Linked DNA regions of Tribolium castaneum. The protein of the gene in region 2 interacts with the protein of the main gene of each other region in a pairwise test. Links are inferred from orthologs where the notes say so. Each region holds a gene or a part of one and is shown on either strand. Other genes may lie near its edges.

Evidence for each region. The genes of interacting proteins can lie anywhere in the genome.
Region 1: the proteins of RCC1-like G exchanging factor-like protein (region 2) and nucleoside diphosphate kinase 6 interact in binary tests that used the Homo sapiens proteins (3 or more experiments, as listed by UniProt). The link is inferred for Tribolium castaneum from reciprocal best matches to the Homo sapiens genes RCC1L and NME6.

Annotation. Positions count from the first base shown.
Region 1 is NC_087399.1:8,509,890-8,512,726, forward strand, and holds nucleoside diphosphate kinase 6, read right to left. Parts: upstream 1,497-2,837; 5' UTR 1,413-1,496; intron 1,353-1,412; 5' UTR 1,282-1,352; coding exon 1,070-1,281; intron 1,024-1,069; coding exon 863-1,023; intron 815-862; coding exon 672-814; 3' UTR 668-671; downstream 1-667. Other genes in the region: enkurin domain-containing protein 1, read left to right, coding at 1-457, 507-667; zinc finger protein 142, read right to left, coding at 2,662-2,837. UniProt on the Homo sapiens protein: Major role in the synthesis of nucleoside triphosphates other than ATP. The ATP gamma phosphate is transferred to the NDP beta phosphate via a ping-pong mechanism, using a phosphorylated active-site intermediate. Inhibitor of p53-induced apoptosis.
Region 2 is NC_087395.1:14,163,008-14,166,639, reverse strand, and holds RCC1-like G exchanging factor-like protein, read right to left. Parts: upstream 2,161-3,632; 5' UTR 1,929-2,160; coding exon 1,653-1,928; intron 1,609-1,652; coding exon 544-1,608; 3' UTR 522-543; downstream 1-521. Other genes in the region: Chs2 (chitin synthase 2), read left to right, coding at 1-293, 341-513; BBIP1 (BBSome-interacting protein 1-like), read left to right, coding at 2,381-2,569; LMBR1 domain-containing protein 2 homolog, read left to right, coding at 2,572-2,745, 2,793-2,971, 3,018-3,396, 3,445-3,621. UniProt on the Homo sapiens protein: Guanine nucleotide exchange factor (GEF) for mitochondrial dynamin-related GTPase OPA1. Activates OPA1, by exchanging bound GDP for free GTP, and drives OPA1 and MFN1-dependent mitochondrial fusion. Plays an essential role in mitochondrial ribosome biogenesis.

The DNA of each region.
Region 1 (2,837 bases), on a different chromosome or scaffold from region 2:
CCAAGGGCCCTCTTCTTCGGGAAAAAATTGAGCCCGGAGAAGACCACAACACGGGGCGTGCAGACCGAACGGCCTGAAGATGTGCCCAAAATGTACGAAACAGGTCCACTGAAATACCCAAGTCCGGCGGTCGCGAAGGTGAAATTATCGCATCGGGGGCGCGAGCAAGGCGACGCCCCCTTGGCCAAAAGCATGCAAAAACTAGACTTAGAAGACAAGCAGAATTACATCAAGCAAAATATTAAAAACATTAAAGTGAGTAAACAAAAGCGGGAGGAGTCTCCGGACCCGACGAAAGCGCCCCCCGAGTATCAAAAGGGCGTAGTCCCGAGATACCTCAAAGAGACGAAAAAATTGGCCAAGGACGAAAAGTCCGGTGTGTTTGAAGAAAATATTTCCGGTCTGGTTTTATTGCCTGATGATGAGAGGAGAGAGTACTTAAGGGTGGCTCGTGAAAGTGGGTATTTCCCCCAAATTGTGTTTGTTTTATCGTTTTTTTTTTGCAGATTATGCCGCCTTGATTAAGGAATTGAACTCAATGCCTGTCAGTAATGACACCCTCAAGAAGCGAAAACGCAAAATGGAAATAGAGGACGAGTTGAAACGAATCGACGAAGTGATTAAAATTTTCCAAAAACCCAAAGTGTTTGTTAAAGCTGATGCGTGATTGTTTATTTTATTATGTGTACAAAATTCTCTTTAATAAATTCAGTTTGGTTTAGTCTAAATTTGGGCTCGTCAAGTTTGTACCACTGTTCGATGTCGAAGTGGGGGAAGAACAGGCCGATTTCCTTCTTTACCGACTCGGGTGAGTCTGAAATTATTTATTATCGGTGATTTGTTAAAATAAAAATAATCGAACCTGAGCCATGTGTCGCGTTTCTGGTGTCCGAGAGCCCGAATTGGCCCCGAATCGAGTCGGGGGCCTCGAATTGTGTCTTGAATACTTTAGTGGGGCCCATGAGTTGGCGCCACGTTTTGATCGCATCTTCCCGGGCTAGAATATAAAAATCGGACGGGCCACTAGGGGAACCCCCTTAGTTCTGATTTTAGCCAACTGGGCCTTTACCTGGTCATGAACGTAACTAAGCGTTTGTAGAAGAATTTGGTTTTGTGTTCGTGGTAAAACGATTCGGCTTCGTGAAGCTGAATTGTGTGTCTTTTTGATTTGACCACTTTGAAGTTCGAGGTTAGGATTATATTTCGTATTTTTTCAACAGCAAGGGGCTGTTTTATGACGTGAGGTTTCAAAATTGCAAACGTGAGTTCGAGACGGTTCATTGTATCACAACTGTGATACAAAACGCGCGACTTTTGAGGTTATGTAATACCACTAAGGTCACAGGTTTTTACTGATAAAATGATAATGAACCTAATTTTTACACAAAAAAACGTAATTTCGTTTGTTTTACCATTTATAATTCATTTATTTCATTCAAGTGAGTTCAACAAATTTGGGAAACCCCCATAAACGAATCAGGAAAATCACACTAAAAACATAGCCAACATGATGAAAAAAATAACTAGAAAATTCCAAAAATAGAGCTGTCGTCGAAAAAAATTGAGGAAAATAAAAAAAATCACATTTGTTCAATTTAGTCACGTGATCAGTTATTCACACATTTAATTGCGAATTAAATTAATGACGCTTCCGTAAACCTTGTATGTTTTTTAATGAAACGCAAATTGCAAAATTTTAAGATTTTTTATTCCAAAATAAAGCTAATTTTTCGAGAAATTGTTTGCATTATTATTTTCCACAGTCATCAATACCATAACCAACAATAAAAACAAAGGACGGGTTTATATAAGCTTCATTAATTTAATTCACAATTAAATGCGTGATTAACTGGTCACGTGATATCAAATTGCGCCAATTTCATTGGTCTATTCGGTTGTTAACTTTTAAAAATAAATTAAAATTTGATGAAGCTTTTTATAAACCGGCCCTAAAAGTTTTATCCTGTACTTGAAATAAAGGTAATTCAAAGTGTACCTGAAATGCACCTTCAAACCAATGTATCTTTGAGGGGAAGCCCCGAATCTTTATTTTGTTTCTAAACAACTCGAAATTCGCCAATTTTGTTTGAGACACCCTCTATATGAAATACTACATTAGTTTGCACAGCATAAGTTGCTAAGTAGTTGCTGCAAAGTAAGTTATGCATCTCAGTATTCATTTGTTATTGTGTTGCTTTAATAACAACTAACACAAAGTAAGCTTTTTTTGCTCACATCAGTCACACAGATTGTTTTTAAATAAAACCATACAAATTTATTTTAAAAAATTACATGGAAAACGATTAACAGATAGGATTATACTTTATAGTTTTATAAAGTTTCTCTTCATTTTGTTATGTCACCGTTTTGTAGTTTTTTCATTTTGTTATTATATTTTGAATATTTTCTATGATTCTTATTAATTTTACAAAATTTAATAATATTAAATCTAGCTGGCGCCTCGATTTTCAAATATTTTAAAGCTCCGCCTACTATCGCCTGGCAGAACTGATTGAAGTCACGGATACTTGACTACTTTGACACCCCAGCATTTTGCAACAGGTTACCCACTTTTTCATCTCGAATGCAATTTTTTTCGGGTTGTGTGTAAATAAAACCAACAGGAGAAAAATTTTAGATGTTTTAATCTAAACTAAACGTTTAAATGGAATTTTTGTCTTTGTGATGGTTTTTCACGTGTGTCTTTAACAAATATCTTTTGAAAGTCTTATACTCGCAGTCATCGCACTTAAACCACTTAATATCACCCGTTTCGTGTTTCCTTAAGACGTGATCCTTCAAACTCGCCTTAAGTTTAGCCTTATACTCGCATTCCC
Region 2 (3,632 bases):
CTCCCAAATCATCACAAAAACACAATTAGACTTCGATCTGTGCAGCAAACCAATCGACGAAATGACTGTGGACGAACTCAGGTCCCGCGACCCTATAAAAATAGTCGCAGATTTACAAAAACTAAAAGGTATAAACAACGAATACGAGGACCAAACGGAAGTTCCGGTCGAAATGCGAAAAACAGTAAGTAATTTGGCGCAAACGAGCGGTGGTGGTGAGAACAAGCCCATATTTTATTTGGATGAAGCGTTCCAAAGGCGAGTCACTCAAATAGGGAGCACTTCAAGCAACAGTAAGTCACCAATTTGTGGGCGAAACCATCACTGATTTATTTTTTAGACCCGAGCATTAGCGCCTTTAGGAAGAAAAGCCTTGCTTACGTCCAACAAAGAATGAGCATAGCCCCAAATCGGGTGTCACAAGCCCGGCCTAGTGTGCAGTTACGGTACCCCAATGGAAAAGCCAACGAAAATTTCGTTTTTGACGAAAACGGGTCAGACGTGGAGGCATAAAATTGAAATTATTTTTTACTCTTAAATTTATTAAATAAAAGGTTTACAAAGTGCCACCGTGTGGTCATACCCGCAAAACACCTTCGACGCGTAGCCCCCTAGCGCCACTTTAAACGGGAAGTTCTGGTCGTTGGCGAACCCCAGCCCCAGACAGCCCCTCATGTTGCGCCCCCACGCGTAAACATCCCCCAGACTCGTCACAGCCATGGCGTAGCTCAACCCACAAGCCACTTGTACCACCCTGTTGTTAGGTTGAAAGTCGTTCCTGCCGAACAAAACCTCGGGGAGTTTCCTCGGGCGGGAGGTTTGCTCGGCCTTGGGCCCCCCGAGGACTAGACCGTAGCCCCACACGAAAACCTCCCCGTGTTCGTTCAAAGCGAGGCAAAATGAGCCCCCGGCTGCCACATCCACGACTTTGCCCACTTTCAGGTGCTTGAGGTGGACTGGGTTGCTCACTTGTTGCTCGTTGTTTATTGTGGGGATCTGGTCGTACTCAGCGTTGCCCCAGCCGAAGACTTCGCCCCTGTCATTAAGGGCCAACGCGAAGTCGGATCGCGACGATATTTTGACTATTTTTTCGGACTCAATCTCGCCCGTGATTCTCGTGAAGGCACTTGTGTTGTCAAACGTGCCGAGGCCCGTTTGGCCGTCAGCCCCCCACCCGCAGGAATACACAGCCCCGTCGTCAGTTACGGCCAAAGTGTGGTCTTGACCACATTCAATGTCGGTTACTTTCTTACTGTCTATATCAGGAATGTGGTTTATGTAATTACTTAAAAAATAATTTTCGTCTTGGATGATTTCGCGCCCGCACTGGCCGTAGGCGTTATTGCCTAGGAGGAAGAGTCCCTCGTCTGTTAACACCACGAGATGTGCACGCCCCGCCGCTAACTTTCGTATCCGAGTTTTGGTTGGGTTTTTTAAAGGTAGTTTAATGGCCTGCGGGAAGTAAATAATCTCCAAAGGGTGCCCTTGACGCACTTCATGTCTTCCAATTTGTGAGTCGGTATTAAGGCCCGTTCCGTACAATTTATCTTCAGATTCGGTATCAACACCAAACGCGGTGAAACCGAAGCCACAAGCGGCAGTAGTCACCTGCAACTTTCATTAAAATATTGAAACTTGCGGGAACAACGTACTGGGAATTTTTCAGCAAAACCTAGCCGCTTTGGGATGTCTACTGTCTCCCGATGCATGACATTTTCGTTGCGTCTCAAATACGGAATACCTAAGGCCCCCGACATAAGGTTGCCCCAAACAAACACTCGTTTGTACGACTTTTTACTAGTACCGTAGTCAAAGACAGGCAGTGATTTTGCCTCGTCGCGATCGATGGGGTATTTGCGTTTTACAGACATGAAGCGTCCACGGGGGCATTTTTCGAGATAAATCACCCGTTTCAAGTGATTTAACATGTTTTTGTTGTTATTAACCCCACTTTTTTTTACTTGCGTGAAGTCAGCTGAAGATCGCGCAATGTTGGTGGATTCTATGGTTGGTGGCTATACCGACATCCTTGACGAATTGTCGCCAATCGGAGAAACGCAAACCCATGTGTATTTCACGAAAAATTTTGATATCTATTCTAATAATCCCAATTTCGACACGGACACACAATACCAGTTAATAATTAAGTCAAATGTGATGATTTGGGCGAAAATTGGCGCAAATTATTGGTGATAACCCAGTAATCAATATTGGCCACATTGCCAACTGACACTTGTCAAAGTGACGTTTCGTGTGTGTGTGTGTGAAGGTTCAATATTTTCGGAATTTTCACGTGCGGATTAATTTTCCGGCCACAGGAAATCTCTAATTACTTGGACGATCGATATTGATGACTATGTTGTGATGTCATTTAGTGACAATGTCCAGTGTGGAAAAACCAAAACCGATTTTGCCTAAGAAAGGACAAATCATCATTGAAGACATCCAGGACTTGGTGTTGTGCAAACCCCGTCTGATCCCCCTTAAGAGTTTCACTTTGGAAAAATTGGAGAAAATGCAACAAGAGGCCCAAAAATCGCAATCCCAGCAGAGTCCCAAAGACGAGTAAAAATGAATTACGGGCCGCTGATTTCGAAAATTTTGCTCTCTTTTATTCTTGCCTCGACGGTCTTGTACCGATATGGGAACTGGTTCAGGCACCACATTGTGGTGACCTTGATTGTGCTTCTTGCTTGGTATTTCAGTTTCTTGATTATTTTCGCGCTTCCGTTGGACGTAATTTCGGTGAGTGACCAATAGTCAGTTTCAGTCAATCACAGATTTGTTCCTAGACGGTTTACCGCCAGTGTAAGGAAGAACATGACACTTTTGACAACGCCACTTCTTCACTGATGCAAAATGTTACAAATAAAAGTATTGAAAAGTGTGAGGAGCCGTGGAGTCGAGTCCCTCATGAGGTTTTTCCGAACTTGTGGCGTACTGTGTATTGGAGCACTCAGTGCTTAACTTGGTATAAGTTTTCACACACAAAATTTCAACTAAAACAATAATTCCAGGCTAGTCATGCCCATGATGCAATCGTACATCAAAGCTGGTGATTTTACAGTCAAAGGCAAATTGAAATCGGCTGTAATCGACAATGCGATTTATTACGGCTCTTATTTGCTAATCTGTGGAGTTCTACTAATTTACTTGGCCCTCCAGCCTGGGATTCACCTCGACTGGTCAAAACTAAAAGCAATTGCTTCGTCAGCTAGCAATACTTGGGGCTTATTCCTCCTAGTTTTGCTGTTCGGATACGCTTTAGTTGAAGTCCCTCGAACTCTGTGGAACAACTCAAACCACAGTTTTGTGCTAACACATTCGTATTTCAAGGCCGCCAAGCTGAGTTCGGACAAGTGCGAGGCCGAGGAAACCGTCGACGATGTCCTCGAGGTTCCATTACTGATTCGTTGAATTTCCATAGTTATTCAATTGTTTTAGTCGCTACAAGCCGTCTCATTGGCCATTAATTCGCGGCATCCATTGCACGCCCACTTGGAGACCATTCTGCAAAAGGTGCCCACGGAATTACGGGACAGAATGAACCGGAGGCAGCTCCCCGAAGACACCCCCACGGATTTACCGAGCGAAAAGGCACTAGTCAGGCTCCACAAGCAAGTGAGTCTGGT